Linked DNA regions of Drosophila melanogaster. The protein of the gene in region 4 interacts with the protein of the main gene of each other region in a pairwise test. Each region holds a gene or a part of one and is shown on either strand. Other genes may lie near its edges.

Region 1 (4,385 bases), on a different chromosome or scaffold from region 4:
ACCACAAATGTGATAGCAGCACCTCCACAAAGGATCAAGAGAAAACTGCAGGAGAACATGGACACCATCCAGAAGCTAAATGCCCTCACGGAGCAACTGCGTCTGGAGGTAAATGAACTGAAGTCCAGTCTGATCACAGAACGCGGTGCAGTGAGAGCCTTAAGGTAAGTCCATTAATATACATATATACCAATAAGGAACGTGATAAGCCCATTTCATTTTACCTTAATCGCACCATTTTATATTGCATAATGTTGTGAAACTTTTTAAATTGAGTTATCAAATACAAATACATTCGTTTTAAAAGTATTCGTGCACTGAAAACATATTTGACCTTTCATGAAAGTGACGATTGGCAATCAGTAAACTCGGAAATAAATATACATGCAATCAGTTTGTTCAAGATTACATTTAAATATTTCTGGTTTCATCTAGATATAAAATATGATAGAATAGTCACACGTTTGATATTAAAACCCATTTCGATCTGATCTTTTGAATTTAAAGAGACATTAAAAAATGCAATCTATCGCTTTTTTATTTCAACCCAGGGCTCAGAATGACGCAGATAGTCGTCGGTGGAAGAGTGAAGTGAAGAAGTTGCAGCATACGCTGGAAATGGCCAAGAAGAGCAACGGTATAAAGAAGGCCATCGAATCGGGCCCAGAATCGAGTGGTGCACATGTGACCGCCGATGGCCTCATCAACTATGAAATCCAAAGACTGACTAACGAGATTGCCGTGCTGAAGGAAGCGAATCGAAACAAGGAGGAGAAGACCCAGGTAAGTGGACGCCACATCAACACAATCATCCGCCTCACATTGCATGCTGCATGCGATAGTTAGTCCCGCCGCTTTGTTACCGCCAAATTGTAGTTGTGGGTCAAGTGCTCCCAGGCCAGCACAATGCATGCCATCCCGATCCCCACCAGCCACAGAGCGAATACGGCGTGGAAATGCTGCAGTTTGAGGACCACCGGTTCATCATTGCCACTCCCGCGTCGACGGTTTACCACCTTTACTCCAGACTTAATAAAGGCGGAGTTCATGATGCGATCCCAGTATCGCTCGAATCCAAACTCATGCGAACTCCGGATCAGTGAGTCCAGGAAACCCAAGTAGGGTGAACCGTAGGGGACGATATAAACGGCGTGAAACGGCACCAGGCAGCTGTTCATCAGGTGGAAAAGCGGACGACCCAGGTGCATGTGCACACGGCTGTTCACCTGGAAACGGGCGATGTGATACTTCTCCAAATAGGCAAATCTGCGAAAGTAGATTTTATGGAATTACAGCAATTAATCCACGTACACGCATACCTTATGTCATTGTTCCTCATCATTTCGTACATCTGGGTGTCGGAAACTTCCAGCATTTGTTCCCGAATTCTGGACTCGTGCTTGTGTCCCAGGGTTAGGAAGTGTTGGATATGTTTTACGTGCCTTGGACGAATGATGATGTGGTAGTGGGACCTAGCCAACGCACCCAATTGGTTTATATCGGGTAGATAAGGCTGGAACACCATCATGCTGGTCAGATTTCCCTTGAATGCCGAGCATATAAGTAGTCCAAAGTAAAGCCAGAAGATCAGAAACAATCGGATCGAGTGGTTTGGCGGAATCTGGGTCATGGGCATAGTTAGGGCTCCGGCGAAAAGTTGCATGGGAACCCTACCCACTTCAGATTTCAGGATGTAGCAGAAGACATTCGCCACCAGAACAGAAACCAGAATTAGGGCCCAAACTAATGAGCCAAATGAGCGAAATATGTTCCAGAAAGTGGGAGCAGTCTTGGCTTTCGGCACAATCACGCAAAGATCATCACGCGTGTGGGATACCGTGCTTTCCGCCTGTTTCCTGAAGGTATCCGGAACCAAGAAACGAATGTTCATGGCCACATCCACGTACTCCTTGGCCACCTCAAGGAAACATATGTCCGAGCTGAGATTGTGGTTGTTATACGAGTGCGGACGCGTTATCATCATGGTCGCGTTCAGTCGCTCAGCCACATAGGCCGCCAGCAGGCCATCGGTCCCCAAGATAGTTCCCTGTCTCCAGAAGATTGCCCTCACATCGTCCTTGTAGATGCACATTCTCAGCGGCTTCCTCTGCATATTGGGTATGGTCTTTGGGAAAAGCTGCTCTAAAGTTGGAACCTCGTTTGGTTTATTGTCCACTGGTATCAAATAGTTGTCCATAAACGGGTTGTACCGATAGGCATTCAGTCGTCCATCTCGCCAGTAGAGGATCACGATGTTCAGTAGCCATATCTTCCAGAATTGCCGGAAACTGGCCCGCATCCAAGCATCGGAAACGGTATCCGCATCTCTGACCAAGAGAAAAACATGCGATCGATGCTTGGCAGCCGATTTCTTCCGGATAAGTGAAAGCTCCAATGGTTGTGATATGTTTGTGGTGATCATCACCATGTACATTAGTATGCCATCATCCTTGACCGCCTCCAGTGGTGTATTTTGATTCCTGAAAGTAAAATATTCGAATATTTGTGGTTATTATATGTTATCAGTATTGTTATGGGATTAAATGATCAACTTGCCTGAGAGATATGTACGATATGTCGCACTTGGTCACCTCTTTGAGTATTTGACCCGTATGCTCGTGGGAGGTTTGATTCTCGAAGTAGACGAACAGGACCTTAATCCGAGCCTTGCAGAGGATCTGACTCATCTTGACCATCACGATCGAACTTTTCTTCAAATCTAACGGAATGTGATTCTCCCGTGTCCCGGCCAAATTGACCAGGATTGCCAGGAGCAGAATGTGTTTTAGCCACTGGATGGACATTGCAATGCCAACTGTTTGAGCAGAGGGATGACACCATTGTTTTTATACCCAGAGCCAATTTCGATATAGCAATTTCCCTAATGCTTGCCATATCGGCAAAGGGCGTTAAGCAAATATTATGCTATATCTTCTGCACTTTTATACCCTGTAAAAGGAACATTGCGAGTTACTGCCTACAGATTGCATTACCTAATTAACACAGAAATATTCTTTTCCATACTGTTTTAATTTCAGGTTTTAGTAACCCTCTATAGTTCCCAAGATTGTGCGATGAATTTTAAGTAGGCATATAACTCAATAAAGTGAAAGTCTTTAGGTGTTTGCTATTTGTAAAATTTTCGTTTTTTTTAATTTTTTTTTATGAAGGGTATGCGATTCTTCGACTGTGGCAAGAACTTTCCTTTCCCGTTCTTTATGTAGCATTTTTTGTGTGTTTTTGTGTCTCGTTTGGTTAATGGACGTACGCGACCTAATCGCAAAGTGCAAACTAACAGCATGGATTAACTTGCTTCTGGTATCTCCCGCTGCTTGGAGCCCCGTATCCAAAAAGTTGGCAACACGCAAACATGTATGATTCGACCATTTCTTGCAGATTATGGGGCAGGCTGATAGACTCAAGGCTGCCGATATGCGGCAATTGAAGAACGCGTACGAAAACCGATTGACTCACATACAGAAATCAGCCAAAATTGAAATAACACGTTTGGTAAGTTGTGCGTAGCGGCTGCTAACGGGTCACCAAAAGTTGGCTCAAAAGAAGTGGTTGTGAATGGGGGGGGGGGGGGGGAAGCGTTACGGAACGAAACCCGGCGGTTCAGAAGCGGACGGGCAACTTTTCATACCACCATTGAAATTCATACATGCATTTTGAATTTGCACAGCAAGAAAACAGGTCATATTCAACTAGCTGCTATAAAGTACCCATATTATAAGCCTTATATCATTTTGATTTACTGGTCATATATTCGTATAAACATTTTCATTTTTCGTGATGTTATTACTAGAGTTTAGTTTCAATCAGTAAGACCATATACATATAAACATTTCTTTTTGCACTTACACCAAACTAATGGGATATAGTTACCTACCATTTGTTCTCATTAAAAACATACACAACAAGTTGTGTATTCCCATTAATGGTATAAACATTTAATAACGCTGAATTGAGCCACCAACATGGGCTTGTATAAATATTAGACCAATTCTGGTTGATTATTGAACAGTTTTACAGGTGGATGAACACGTATTGCTCATATATCTCTAAACTCCATATGTTTAGTATGAATCTAACCAATCTCTGCTACTTATTATTCCAGTTAGAGGAAATAAAGACCAAAGAACGTAATATAGGACAACTGAGGAAGGACTTGCTGGCACTGCAGAGTCCCAAGAAGCTGAAGCAGAATGAAGCCAAAGTGCCAGCGACGACGAAACCCAAAACGAACCCCAACGAAACGAGCCAAAAGCCAAAGAAACCCACTACGAAGGCGGCGGGAGAAACAAAAGCTAAAACCGAACCAGATACAGATACAGATATATCCGAGCAAAATCCCATACGCCAGGCTCAAGTTACACCTGAGG
Region 2 (4,681 bases), on a different chromosome or scaffold from region 4:
ATATATTTATTTGTTTGTTTGTAGCCCGCGAGAGAGATGTTTTCGTATCGGCCTTATGTATTTTTAGGCTGCATCTTAATTCCCGGGACCAGTTCGCCTACACAAGTCGTCGATTGTCGCCCGTTTTGGCTGTATTTCGCCTTTAATTCTTCATTTTTTCTCGCGTAATATTTTTTTGCAGTTAATTCTCCTTTCTGATTGCCTTTTAATAAGACAACCCCAGCCGATTCTTGACCAGTTGAGTGTGGGCTTTATTATGAGTACTGCCCCTTTTTTTCGCTTTGTTTAAGTATTTTTCTCGTCGATATTATCTTGTTGGCTGGACTGTGCTTTGTTTTTTATTTCTTTGTAATATCTTATTTTTTTTTGTTTTGGCGTGTCATGTTGCCTTCCCAGCACTTGTGTTTGTGTAGGTGTCTTGTTTGGTCTTTTGTTTTTTCGCCGCGCTCGCTTGATAGTTTGTTTAGTCGTTTGTTGTCTTGGCTGTTAAAGGCAACTTGCAGGGGCAGGCAAGTTAATGACTAATGTGTTAGGGCTTTCGAGGGATATATGCCTTATACAATTTAGCATTAATATATGGCAGGAAGCGTAAGAACGAGTGAGTGAATCATGACAGGGCCGCGCTGCCAAACTTCATTAAGTCGCCGCAAGTTCGTTGCCTCAGTCATTCGTTTTTTTACCAAAAAAAAAGCTCCAGCACGCCCCCGACAAAACCGAAGATCGTTTTATTCGACCATCACTCCAAATGGCCACAAATTGTGTGTGTATGTGCACTTCACGACCAAAAACGAGGTCACTTTGTCGGTTTTTCAACAAAATCGAAAAGAAAAAATAAATACTTATTGTGTTTCATTACGCGAATGACATCATGGCAGCGCTATGGGAGCTTCTCAAGCTTTTTAGCCTTGCACTCCCCGATCTTAACTCTGATATTTATATTTAAATTTTTGCGTATAGTATATAGATAGAAAAAGTGCTTACCTTTGGCCTGGGCTAATCCGCAGAATAGGGCCGCCAGCCACAGAGAGCGCCACATTTGCATTGAGAGCAGCATTTTCCAAAATTTCCGGATCTAATTGGTCGGGGTAGAAACGGAAAGACAAACGGCATATTATTACAAGCATTTCGAACGAACCGAAGCCGAAGCAACGGCACATGCTCCACAAGCGGGCCAACATTTTATTTGTTATTTGTATTCTTGGCCTGGCCTTTTTGACGTTTTCACAGACACAATTCATATATGTAGGTACCATAACATATATATGTACCGCATCGCAAACACACACAGCGAGTTATTATGAAACAAAGCCAGAAGAGAATGCCCGTCAAGTGGCTTGCGGCGACCGCTCAACAAATCAAAAACCAATGACAACGGCAAATAAAAAACGAAACGAGCCGCGAACCACACACATATCACACAAATTCACACAAAACTCGGAGCGGGTCTTACTTGACGGCTGCAATATGGGGAAAACTCGGAACTCGAGACTCGAAACCACACCGAAGAGCACACCACACGTCCAAGCTGTTCGCTAGTCGCCAGGCAACTGAGGCTCAGCTCGGCTGCAACTTCATTACCTCGGGAATCGAGAGCCGGCGTATAGAGATGCTGACTCAGTTTCAGAGCAGAAGTCGTTCTTATATGGCAGAGAGTGCAAAACTATAGTGAAAGCACTCAATGTTAACCAATTGGTTAATTACCCAAAAGAAATGTAATAAGTACGTATGTATATAAGAAGATAAGTGTGCCGTTTTATCCGAATTATTGCAACATAAATCTATATGCATTTTTATTATATTATGCTTTCATTGGTAAAAAAAAAAATCCTTAGAAAATATTTTAAGAATTTTGAATAAGATAGTGTTGAATAATTATTTAACAAACGGAGTTTTCAAAAGTTAGCTATAAACTAGCTAGTGAACCAACGCTCTTAGGCATTAGAGCGTGGACAGTGGGGAAAAATGCTAAGGCGCCATCTAGCCCCTGGCTGTTCACAGTGCATAAATAAAGCCGGCAATTACGAAAGTGCTACATTACAATTTATGGATATACTTGAATACATTTAGATAAGCAGAGCACAATTAAAATGACCCACTGTAAGTCGCTCTCTCGCACGGAGCATCTCTGTCGCACGGCGAAAAAGAGAGCGACTTTAGCAAGTTAGCTTAACCGAGAGGCTGTAAAATACGGTAAAAGGATCGCTCTCACTACCGCTCTTTTCCGCTCTCTGCCGGAGATAACAATCAGCCGGTAAGTTTGTATAATTTTTTTTTTTGTCCCATGACAAAAACTGAGAAATTGTGGGAGCAAAATCTTACAAGCAATTATGCAATCTCGTCTCCGGCTTTTTTGTTGCGTTTGCTGTTGTTGTTTTTGTTGCACTCGCTATTGTTGTCAAAACAAACATTTATGTAATTGCGCTCGCTGTCAGCACGAACTGCCGGTTCGTTCTCAACGGCCACAGATGAGAACAGGGAAGTAATAGTTTAAAATGAGCTAAATGCAGCAGCTGTTATGGATATTTTCCCTATATATTTCGCTATATGTACTAACGGTACACTTACACTTCCGCCAAAACTAAAACCGTTCTTCAGCTGGTCATCTACTGCATTTTCCAGAGCCCAAGGCGCAGCCCGTGAACCCAATTTCACACCTCTTGATTTCGCGCGTGCTTGGGCATTATTCATGATTCTCCTACTTGTTAGTTTTCCAAACCAATGGCCATCCCATCATTAAACGGATTAGAAACATTTATTTGTGCATACTTACTGGCCATACACTACTGGCCCTCTTGAAAAACGGTAAATGACGTGCAAAATAAAGGCAACCAGCCGAGCGCACTAATTTAATTTGCTAAATTCAACTCAAAATGCCTTATTATTACTTTGTTGCACCAGTTGTACGGGAATATTTAGCTCAAGCATCGGCCAATATTAAGTTAAGCACAAATTGTAATAATTAAACACTTGCCACTTGCAAAAGAAATTAACCAAGTTCCCCGTTCCTCTTTGCACACAATTTGCCGATCTGGCAAGTCTGTGACGAAGCGAAAGAGGAATGGGGAAGAACCGCAACAGCTGTCATCTCGCTCACACCTAACGGATTGCGGATTTCCGAGAAAAGCGCAACTGGATTTTTATAATTTTACGATTTCACAGATTTAAATGTTGAAACATTGGACATTTAAAGGCCGGGAAGTGTGCAATATAGCTAAGATATAAATACACTGACACACGACCCGCCCTGCAAATGTTTATGTTTTCGCAAACACTTTTTTTTCACTTTTCGATGTTAATTCTTGATATTTTCAGGCCGGTGAATGTGCAATATATTCGACAAATGAAATATTAACCCATATACCGTCCGAAAAATGATCTAGAAATTTCGATTTTTCACCGTCTTGCCGCCTATTGCAAGGAGTTTAAAAACACAACAAAACTAATTACTTTGCTCATAAAATGATTCGTTTTAAAGTAATCAGGCCGTCTCAAGTGCAATACTAGTTAAAAAATGCAGAATTGCCCTTGTGACGAACCAAATCGCTTCAAACTTAATTCACATTTCTAATAATTTAAAAATGCTAATTGTTAGTATAAGGCAGTTGCTAACATTTTCGGGCTGTGAAAAGTGCAATACTCAATGTTAAAAAAACAGTACTGCCCCCATCCGCAGCAGAAAATTGTTGGCTAGAACGATGTCGGGTAATACGTTTCAAACGACCACTCGCGACGACTCTCGGAATTTGAATGCCGGGGGCAAAGAACGCAAAGAAGATCCCGAAAAGGAAAAATCACAAAACGGGACACAATGGAATGCAGAGGTTTAGAGCGGGATGACAGTATGAACTTCGAACTCTCAAAACATCCAAAGTTTTTGCTCTACTCTACAACTTTCGGGAGAGAGAATATTCAAAATGGCGGCAACGCGAGGAAATCGAAGGAATTCGCGAGATACACATTTTTTTTTAACACTTAAATATGTATGTACATATTTTAATGAATCGTTAGCTTAGCTCGTGAACTTTTATAATAGCAAACAGAATACCATATTTTTTTGCCCTTCGATTTACTATTTTGAGTTGATGAGTGATGAAATATCACATTTTTGTGTTTTTTTTTTCAATCTGTGCACTTTGGTGTAAGTTTTCTGAAAATAAGTAAGACGGGAATGCCAGTTTTGTAAAAAACACAAAAATAAGCATAACAGCCTTTACTATTTTAAGGAGATTATGGCAAATGTGAAAAAAATATCACATTTTGAATTTGTACACTTCGGTGTTAGTTTTCTAAAAATAGGTAAAAGACGGTTATGCCAATTTTGTAAAACAAACAAAAACAAGCATAAATATCACATTTTGTCTTTTCTAAAAATAATTAAAATTGGGTTTTCTAATTTTTTAAAACACTCAAATATAAGCATAACAGACTTTTTCCTATTTTGAGATTATGGCAAATTTGCTTAAATATCACATATTTGTCTTTTTTTTTTTGATTCCGTACACTTAGGTGTTAGTTTTCTAAAAATATATTAAGTATGTTACACAGATTTTGTAAAACACCTAAAATATGCAAAACGGACCTAAATAATTTTAGAAAAAACCAAGTTGAGTGGCGATTTCTAATGCAAAACCAAAACTTTCCAAACTACAACTTTAATAGGACGTTAAAATATGTATTAATA
Region 3 (3,680 bases), about 22 Mb from region 4:
AAAGGGCGGTCTCAACAAACCCTATTCTCACACCATCACACGACTTTTTTATTACGTCCCCTTTTAAATTATGCTCTGTGAATGGGAATGATTAAAATAATAACAAAAAAGGAAATCAAGCGACGAAATAATATACTGAGTTGACAATACGTTTAAGAGGCCATTTTAAAATAAAAGTTTACCAGGACAGAGAGAGTAGAGTGCCTCGACTACAAGATACCTCTCACTCAGGTGATAATCGGGGTGGCAACTCACTGAAACAAACTGCGACAGCATACGCTGCGGAAGGAAAATGCACAATAAATGGAAATAGAAAAGTTTAATTGAAACTCATTCAAAAAAAAAAAAAAAACAATCAAAGCATGCTAAGGATCTCTATATCTGAAACAGATGCTCTCTACAAAATAGTTGCAGTGAAAAATGGCAAGAGAGTGGGCAAAGAAAAGCGCAGAAGGAGAAAGGCTTCATGATGAAGGATGCTTGTTGTTTGCTGCAGTTAAATTAAATGAAAAAGTTTAAAACTTTTTTAATGAAACCATTTTATTCAGTAGAGGCATAAACAAAAAAACAGTCCCCATTCCGTTGTAACAATAGCACAAAAAAGATGCAAGACAAAGGAAAACAAAAGTCTGAGCGGAAGAAAAACTTGATGCAACTTGCATGGTCTGAAAGGAATCAAAAAAAAAAAAAAAAAAAAAAGAATAAAATGTCCCAATAAAAATCAAAATATGTATGAGACTTAAAGGGGGTGGCCTATGCTTGCTTTCAACTTTGTAAATTAAATTGCCCGTTATTTGATTTAAAATGGGCGGCGCAGTCTTTTTGAGCTTAAGTGACGTATGCGTAATCTGAATGGGGAGCTAATCGAAAAGCCACCTTGATACGGACGATAAAACCCATAGGCTCTGGCTATGGGTGTTCGCTTCTAATGCAACTGTCGCTTTCAGGGACTCGCAAGCAATTGGTAATTACGCCAAAAATTAAACAGGGACGTAATCAAGAAAACATCAAGGATAAAAGCTTAAGCTTGGACCAAACAAGGTGCTTATTATTTAATTAAGTAAATTCAAATAAATTAAATTAAATAAATAAATAAATTTAAATTTGTATATCCCTATATCGACATATTCAATTTCTTTGCTAAACATTGTTCTCTACATTTTTGTCTTTCATTGCACACAACTTTGCAGGTACATTTTGCGTACATATTGTGCATTCCTATTATGCCATTCAATGCACCAGTTTGATATTAAAACAGCAACTTGTGTCGCTGGGCCAGTTATCAAATACATACCCTTTCTTTCCTGGCTTACAGGTTGTAATCTGTTAGAATTCACGTCTTAACTACCGGTAGTACGATGAAACGACCCTGCTGCGAGATAAACATTATGCCAAATTAAAATGCATTCTGTAGTTTCTATAATTAATGCGAACGCATGCCGTCGAGTGGTGCGCTTTGAAACGTAATCCACCGGATCCAGCCACAAGAAATCACTGAGTCAATAAAAGCGTGAAATAAGAGAGATGAGATTGTAGAAGGAATGAAGTTAACGGCGCAACAGCTATCATGATGGCAGAAGAACAATAAATCGTATATGAAAAGATCTAATAACGAGGGAAACGGAAACGGAAGTTATTGAAGTGCTAAAAAAAATGGCGAACTGAAATAATAAAAGTAGTTGTTGTGTGCAGTAAACTGAGATTTTACTGGCTCTAAGGTGTGGAGTTTTATGTTTACGTTTGTCGATCACATGATAAATCTACTACAACAATTTGTATTTGATTTATATATCAAAATTTGGTTTATTAAAGTATTTCATAATTATGTAAACTAATACCCCTGCATCGCTTAATACAATTTATCCCTAACATCCGAAGCAATGTCTGATGTGGAGCAAGAAGCCTCTGGAGACGTTGATAATGAGCAAAATGAAGGACAAGAAGCTGCTGAAGATTTTGAGGGAGAGGGCGAAGGAGACGAACAGGACGTTGAAGAGGAAGATAAGTTCGAGGTGGAGGAGAAGGATCCCTTTGAGCTCCTCAATGAGAGCGATGAAGACGATGAAGAGCAACAGGCAATGTACAAGGAGTATCAGGAGGTGGTCAACGCTATTGATGCGCAGAACAGGATTATAAAAGAGCTCAAGGCAAAGTCCAATCGACTGATGTTCAAGAAGTGCAAGACTTATAGAGACAAGCAGGAATACAAACAACTTAGGGTCTGTCAGGAGCATGAGGAGATCCATTTAAAGGTTCTCGTGAATAGAGCCATGCACCTCCAAAACTTCGGTTCACCTAGGCGCTACAGAGATATAGAAATGGAAGTCACAGAGGACGAGAAGAGCTACTTTTATACTGAACTACAATCGACCTTATCAGGCTTTTGTCCCACGGATTCGGCTGACGAATATGAGTCGGATTCTGAATCGGATAATGGACTATGTTGTACCTAGTTTCCTAGCGGAGTTTCCGAAAATTGACGGGGAAAAGTTATGAAAATACTTGAATAATTGTGGAATATCTTCATATTTTACATATATACATATCTACACATATCAACGACACTGCACTCAATAAAATGGGAAAGGATGGAGGGAATGTGAATAAAAAATGCAAGAAAATTTCAATAAAATGCAAGTAAATGCAAAATTTAATTTAATCCCTCGATTTCTAAAATATCTGCCTAGCACTTCTTTTAGCTGGGTTTAATAGTCAAGAGTCCAGACGTGGAGTAGCCAAATAGCGGGAAAGTGTAGAGCAATAGCAATAAGCGCAAAAACAAGACGATTGTGCCCCCAGACAGAATAAGGGGATCAAAGCAAAACAGCCATAAACAAATAACCGAAGAGGCACAGAAAGACGCCAGTAGACGAGAATGAATCGAAACGAACTGAATTGAACCAAAACTTCTCTCGATGATTTCTTCGTTCCCTCCTCCTTCTTTTATTATGCCTCAATTCTCACTCTCCGCCAAGTGCCACGCCCATTGTGGCGCTTGATGGGGAACACTTCGCAAAAACGAGATAGTTTGACGTTTTCTACACAACTGGTCACTGTTTAAATTTTATTTACATTTAGAAAGATTTGGAGAAAAGTGAAATGTAAATTATTTCGATTAAAAGATAATTTATGTGGACTTGCAACTTAGAAATTTATGGTTTAACCCTAAGGTGGAAAATTCAAAAGCGCGATTTTAGAAGGGGAATGTTGTCGGCGCCAAATTCGCCAACCCAATGTGCAGAAGCAGCGGCTTCGACCGCGTTGCGACGTCACCTTGCGTCCATTCACCCCGTTCATCATTGTTTATGAGTGTGTGCCCAGACACAAAAACAAGCACACATTAACGTATACAGCAAAATTCCTTTAACTGTGCTTCGATTCCATTCCATTTTCCATCTGGTTCTGTTTCTGTTTTTTGGACCTCTGCCTTGGGTCTTCTGTTCATGTCTCTTCGCCCCCCCCCCCCCCCCCCACCCAATTCTCCAACCCTACTGCGTTCTCCCGCTTGTTGTTATTGCACTGTCTGCGGCTTGGGTATTTTTTACGCGCCTGTGCTCCATTCCACGTTCCCAGTCTCCCCGTCTCGTTCCAACAACCTTGGTATATATCTTCGCCGCCCAAAAAAAGTGTGCGAAAAATACTCTAGGAAGATTCAGAATCGCGGAGTCGGATCTAGGAGA
Region 4 (6,574 bases):
GGGTGTTTCTGTGCGACTCGTTGCTCTTTTGGCCGCATTCAAATATGGAATGCAGCTTCCAGCCGGACTTGAAATTCCATAGATGAGCCTCAAAGGTCAAAGGCACGCAAGCCAGGAGATGCAGAAAATTGATTGATTCAAGCCGTGTCGCTTCCTAAGATGCTAGTCGAGATCCTCAACTTCCAGACACCAGCTACAGCAAGATCGAAAGTTGACTGAAATAATATGTAAGGCCTTTGCCATTTGTTGTAGACGGCCAAAATCCTTTTGGAATAAACATAGAAACTTTCAATAATAATAATAAAAACCAAAATTATTAAATTAATATTAATATATTCAAAAGTGTGGGAGCAGCTTTGTGGGATAGTGGACGTGCTCACTCTTAGTTAAGGGAATGTGTTCTTTTTATCATTCGTTCTCATAAACTTTCTCTAACTCTTACGTAAGCTCGCAGACTTACGAAATCTTAAAAATAAGCGAAAATAATACTTGCTGCAAATTGTTTCATGATTAAAAAGTCCGAAAAACTAATATCCAGTGTTGGGTTGTAGTCACAAATAATATTTATTATTCATTTCATTTTTTCACTTGCGTATTTTGATTTGCATTTCAGTTGTACACTTCAGATTTTGCACTTTTGTTGGAAAAGACAAATGGCAACTAAATGCATTAAGCTTATTAATTTTACAAGCATGGCCACAATGAGTTGTATTGTACTTGAGCTGTTATAGATTCACTCCGGGACAATCTGTTGCTCTGGCAAGACTAAGCATACAAAAATATTTCAGGTTTCAATCGTGTTATGCCTATTATTTTATAAATTATTGCATCGAAATTCGTTCTTAAACTAATTTCCTTTAATAGGGAAATTATTATGACAACACTAACTCATACATTCTTCAAATTATACTTTTTGGTAGCAGCAAAATTGGGATTAAGGGTAGTAATTCATTAAAATGACCTGTACTACAAAGTATATATCTTTGGGATAAATTATTTGGTTGGGTTTCGTTCTGCAACTTTGGGTTACTAAACACTAAACTAAATGGCAAGAACTAGTTCTACAAATCCTTCTTCTATGGCACACTCGCATTTGGCGTTGGCTATCAACTCCTGGATTCTACTTCTGTTTCATATACATGGTAGCAATTTTCTCAAGAATCGTGTCTATAGACAACAATTCGTCGCTGAATTTCTGCATAGTGGGGGCTGGCACAATCCACTTAAGAAATTCCTCCACATTTAGCCGGAGTCTGGCCAATGGGGTCATCGTGGCGTCGTCATGGGATTGTCGCTGAGCCAGCTTCAAGGATGCAATGATAACGTTATCGATTAGACGCTTCTCGTAGCCCAACTGGCGCAGCTTTTGAGCGGAGCTAATTTTCTTCAGTACCACTGCCATGTTAAATCTTAAGACAGAGAGAATTTGCGCATCTTCAGACTGATTGCCACTGGGTTTGTCCCCGTCAACTGGACACTTGGCGCAGTGCTCAACATGCGACTGCAGCTCCACCTTGATCTTAAAGAAATCGTGGCAGCCTTCGCACATGTAGGGCTTTTGCTGTTTGTGTATCTTCTTCATGTGGTTCTTTAGGTGCGCCAGCTGAGAAAAGGCTACTTCGTCTTCGCACAGCTGGCAGCGAAAGGGTTTTTCCCCCGTATGCTTTCGGATGTGCAGTTTTAGTACGCTTGAATGGGCAAAGGTCTGGTGGCAGATCTGATGGAAGTAGAAACATAATTTACGGCTGCATGCAAGCTAACACCCTTTCAACTTACCCTACACTGATAGGGGCGCTCTCCCGTGTGCATTCGCATATGGACATTGTACTGGCTTTTCTGGGTGAAATATGTGTTGCACACCTCGCAGACGTGGGTCTTAACAGCGGTGTGCCTCTGCATGTGAGTGGCCAAATCCTCGTCCGGCTCGATCATCTTATGGCATATCTCGCACTCAAATTGCGTCAGCTTGTGGTGCTCCTGGTTTATGTGCGCTCGCAGGGCCAGCTCGTTGGCGAATTGGTTCTCACAGATGCTGCACCGGTGCTCCATGCCCTGCTCGTGTCGCTCCATGTGCACCCGTAAATTGGCGTTGGTTGAGAAGCTGGCCGAGCACTTAGTGCAGTTGAACTGCTGGATACTCGTCTTGTGGTGAGAAACCATGTGCTGTTGCAGCTGCAATATAAATGATAATATATATTAGGAACACCAATGGTTAAGACCTATAAAAACAAAAGCCTAATAGAAAGTTCATTATTAAATACACTTATTTATATTTAATTATTATAATAAATATTATTATTTAAGTTTATAATAAATCAAATTATGAGAAAAATATAAAATTAATTGTTAAATCTCAGTTAAAAATGGAATGTCGTATTACTCACTTGACCTCCTCGGGCGAATTTTTTGTCGCAGAGGTCGCAAGGATAGGGCTTCTCGCCAGAGTGGAGGCGCATGTGGAGCCGCAGGCGCTCCTTGAGGGCGAATGATTTTGGGCACTGGGAACAAACGAACTGTTTCCGATGCTCGTGGGCGGTGGTGATATGATTTTTCAGGTTGACCGCCTGGCGGTAGCTCTTGCCACAATCCTTGCACTTGTGCGGTCGTTCGTCCGAGTGGATAAGCATGTGGCGCTGCAGATCCGTCTTGCCACCGAACTCTTTGGAGCATTGACTGCAGACATGGTGCTTGCGTTTCACCGGTTCGCCCTTTCGGGCAGACTTCTTAAGCTGCGGTTGCACGTAATCATCATCCTTTGAGTCCTGCTCTCCGCCGTCGTCCTCCTCCTCGTCCACACAAGCATCGCGCAGACTTGCCAAGCTGCTCTTCCTCCTTTTGATCGCAAGCGTAGGGCCTGGTGAGGATTCCCTCGCCGCCGGCGGCGAAGACAGCGATATGCCGCTGTCTGTGAGCAGAGAGACGGCATCCTCCTTGGACACACTACGACGGCTGCGTACCATTTGTTTGGTTTTTATTATTTGGATTCGTAACTAAATTTCTGGGGACCGCTTCCTGGGAAACACCGGCACCTGCTGCGTTTGTCTTTACTTCTAGGGTTAATGTTCTACGTATGTAATTTAGGGTATTCGTATTTTTTGGTTCGATTGCTACTTCTAGGATAGTTCCCATTCACCTTTGGTTTGGATTAGTTCAGATGGGCTGCAAAAAAAGTTAAGAGCTGTTTTAATTCTCCACTCGCCGAGCGCCACGTTCCGAAGCAGACGGAGAATCAAAAACACAGACAGAAATAGTAACCGCAAGTGAAGCCGAAACAGAAACAAGAAGAGAAACAGCAACGGAACAGAAACTCCAGCTGTGTCAACAGTGATAAGACCTATGCACAGGAAAAATATTACCAAAATTGGTGGATTTGCATATTTAGGGGCTTCGAAAAGCATGGCACTTTTTACGTTAATGCAATAGTTCTTACTATTTTTGCAGTGTTGTCGAAATCACTTGAGATTTTTAGACGTTGTTTATCATAATTAATTAATTAATTGCAATTCATTGGCTATCCAATTAGAAAATATATTCGTTTCTTTACAAATCTAGTTAACAACGGAAGGTTGTGGACTGTTTTTCACGGTGTACAGAGCTAGGAGCCCAAGTCTTGAAGTGGGTCGCATTATCAATTGACATTTCCAGCGAACGTAAGCTTCCAAAAAAAATTCTTAGTTTGTTGTCTTAATCTTTTGTTTGGGCGGGAGCGAGATGGAGAAACCGCCTGATAAGATCCCGAGGAAGGCAACAACTGATAAGCAATCCACCGCTTTCACTAAAATCACGGTAGAGCTATAAAAAGATATCGAGATAAAGCTGTGCAACCTGAGCGTTTTCGATCCCGCGGCGTCTGTTCTCCGAGGCGGCGGAGTTTCCAATGAAAAGCGAGAACACTGAAAATGCAACTGCAAGAGAGCGATTACGATGACCCTGGGCTGGGACGAACATCTGGCAAGCAGATTGGGAACCCTCCGATTCCGATTCCAGTGCCAAGCAACCCCCTCCCCCTGCGGAGGGTTAATGGTTCATTAGAGCCGCACCCGCAGAAGCTGAAAACTAACTCACTTTAGCAGCACAACGGCCCTCGACCAAACTGTTGAAAAAGCGAATTTAAGCTAGAATCCGCAGCTGGGAATCGAAATTGAAAGAGAACAGGGCAAAAAGCACGAACGACAGCGAAAATCACACACAAAAAGCGAAAATAAAGAAGTGAATACATAACAGCAGTTTTGTAATGCTAAATAGGCGGGGTTATGGGGGTGGGTAAGGGTTAAGGCGGCGGCGGTCGCTGGATGAGGGTAGGGGCCGTTGAAGTCTTTCGTATTCGGGGCACAAAACTCGACGACTGTGTAGTTTTCGGGGTCTTGCAACCGATTGTTAGTAATTAATGAACCAGCACCACAGCACTCATATACGTAAAGCAATCCATTATACACATATGCTACACATTTGGCCCAGGGGCTCCACATTCAACACCAACACCAAAGCCCCACCGGGCGTGGACTTACCTTCGCAAAAAGCAGGAGTCGCTAGGCTAAGGGCCTTCGATCCACAGGAAACTTAGCATCACCCCGAATGGGACACACCTGGACTTCCTATGCATTCCGCGTCCGACTATGAGTTCGCTTCTTATTTGTTTTTAATTTCGACACCACGAGCTGTGTGTACATACTTTTTGCAATCCGCTAGGTGGCAGTCCGACTGGCTCCTCAAGGTGTATCCATCGTGCTGCCTGCGGCTTAACCTTTGTGGGACTTTGCGGGTTTGCCGATTCTAAGCCAATACTGCGTTTTGTCCAGCAAAATAAATAACAGTTTTCGGTGGTTTTTCGATGTTGTTCTTAATGTTAGTGATGTGTATTCACCGATAGACGGTCACACTGGGACTCTCTGTCTGCGCGGCCACAGATGGGAGCGTGATGCACAGTCACTAGTTAGAGAAAATCCAATAACGTGTAGGTTGCGGCGCAATAAGTTATAAATAAGTTAAAAATCACATTGCGCAGTATCACTGCAATATTTATTGAAATTTCAGTAAGAACAAAGTGAGGCACACTTTGTTGAACGTGACTTCTTTTACACACTGAAATCACAGCCTGCTGAACGTGACCACTTTGCTCACTGAAATCGCAGACGTGTGGCAACACTCAAGCCGCCAGAAAGATCTGGCATCTCTCATACTTAACACGCGCATGCAAAATATTTAAGAAATAAATATTAGTCGCTAACAGTTTAAATATAATAAAATTCTGCTGATATAAACCCAGTTCATAAAAGAACACGCATTTACCTCCGCATATAAGATCAAATACGTATAAAATCTAATTAGCCGACTCAAGGTAAGGCGTGCGTTTTTGGAGCTCCACTAAACTGACTTCAAAGCAATAACTCATCAAATACTACATTTCAGTTAAAATGGCTGGAGTACTCTTTGAGGACATCTTCAACGTAAAGGACATGGATCCGGAGGGCAAAAAGTTCGACCGTGTATCCCGCCTGCACTGCGAGTCCGAGTCGTTTAAGATGGACCTCATCCTGGACATCAACTCGTGGCTATACCCCATGGAGCTGGGCGACAAGTTCCGCCTGGTTTTGGCCACCACCCTGCGCGAGGATGGTTGCCCGGACAGCGGGGAGTACAATCCAATGGAGCACGAGGGAACGCGGGCGGACAGCTTTGAGTACGTGATGTACGGCAAGATCTACAGGATCGAGGGCGACGAAGCACACAATGAGGCCTCCCGGCTCTCCGCCTACGTGTCATTCGGCGGCTTGCTGATGCGACTTCAGGGTGACGCCAACAATCTTCATGGCTTCGAGGTGGACCAGCACATGTACCTGCTGATGAAGCGGCTGGCCTTCTGAATTTTCTACCTAATTATTTTCGATCGCAAATTAGACATAGACAACAAACTTTATTTACAGTGTATTCATGACATTGCTTGGAGTGCTGAAAGAAGTAGTCTATTGCCTGGATGGGCGTCTGAAAGGCGCATTGACTATCAGGCGAGATGGCCGTGGGCGAAAAGGAATGTGGCGATCCACGAAGGGCAAAGCCTGCGGAGTCGATGGGAACACTGGAGTAGGCCTAATAGCATTCACAATCTTGACCGCATCTGGCCGACGACGAACCGTAAGCTTAGCCGGCCGTCGCTGCGGAGTCCGCAGAACCGGACGCTGCGGGCGGAAGGCAGAAAGTCGGTTCAGAAGCGGCAGAACATACTGAGCCTGGGGTGGTAGCGGCAGACTTGCCAAATTAATTATAGCTGCGCTTTGTGGCAATGTGTTGGAGCTGTCATCATTGGCTGGCTGGTCTGGAGGTCCGTAGGTCTGATCGGGAGGTCCATAAATTTGGTCCGGTGGGCCGTAGACCTCAGCTGGCGCTTCCACCAAAGACGGTGGTCCGTATGTTTCAGGTGGAGGGCCATATGTATCCTCCGGTTGAGGAAATTCAACCGCCTCCTCCGTTGGCAGGTCGAATGGCGGATCGGGGACCAGGCCTGCTGGTGGATATGGGGCTTGTTCCTGTCTTTGCAGAAACCTTCCCGCCGCGGGTCCTGGGAACCTCAGATGAC

Evidence for each region.
Region 1: the proteins of CG11247 (region 4) and Ir85a interact in a two-hybrid assay, tested with the Drosophila melanogaster proteins (one large-scale study listed by BioGRID).
Region 2: the proteins of CG11247 (region 4) and qsm interact in a two-hybrid assay, tested with the Drosophila melanogaster proteins (one large-scale study listed by BioGRID).
Region 3: the proteins of CG11247 (region 4) and CG13405 interact in a two-hybrid assay, tested with the Drosophila melanogaster proteins (one large-scale study listed by BioGRID).

The regions. Positions count from the first base shown.
Region 1 is NT_033777.3:8,793,103-8,797,487, reverse strand, and holds Ir85a (ionotropic receptor 85a), read right to left. Parts: upstream 2,805-4,385; coding exon 2,572-2,804; intron 2,481-2,571; coding exon 1,320-2,480; intron 1,267-1,319; coding exon 843-1,266; 3' UTR 784-842; coding exon of another isoform or gene 552-783; 3' UTR 522-551; downstream 1-521. Other genes in the region: Pif1A (PFTAIRE-interacting factor 1A), read left to right, coding at 1-164, 552-783, 3,397-3,510, 4,121-4,384.
Region 2 is NT_033778.4:20,580,580-20,585,260, forward strand, and holds the start of qsm (quasimodo), read right to left. Parts: upstream 3,013-4,681; 5' UTR 2,771-3,012; intron 1,554-2,770; exon of another isoform or gene 1,451-1,553; intron 1,073-1,450; 5' UTR 1,055-1,072; coding exon 982-1,054; intron 1-981.
Region 3 is NT_037436.4:73,411-77,090, reverse strand, and holds CG13405 (uncharacterized protein), read left to right. Parts: upstream 1-1,758; 5' UTR 1,759-1,880; coding exon 1,881-2,453; 3' UTR 2,454-2,637; intron 2,638-2,699; 3' UTR 2,700-3,146; downstream 3,147-3,680.
Region 4 is NT_037436.4:21,723,779-21,730,352, forward strand, and holds CG11247 (uncharacterized protein), read right to left. Parts: upstream 5,029-6,574; 5' UTR 4,673-5,028; exon of another isoform or gene 4,615-4,672; 5' UTR 4,509-4,614; intron 3,160-4,508; 5' UTR 2,961-3,159; coding exon 2,385-2,960; intron 2,173-2,384; coding exon 1,777-2,172; intron 1,718-1,776; coding exon 1,121-1,717; 3' UTR 548-1,120; downstream 1-547. Other genes in the region: Polr2H (RNA polymerase II, I and III subunit H), read left to right, coding at 5,415-5,864; CG14570 (uncharacterized protein), read right to left, coding at 5,964-6,574.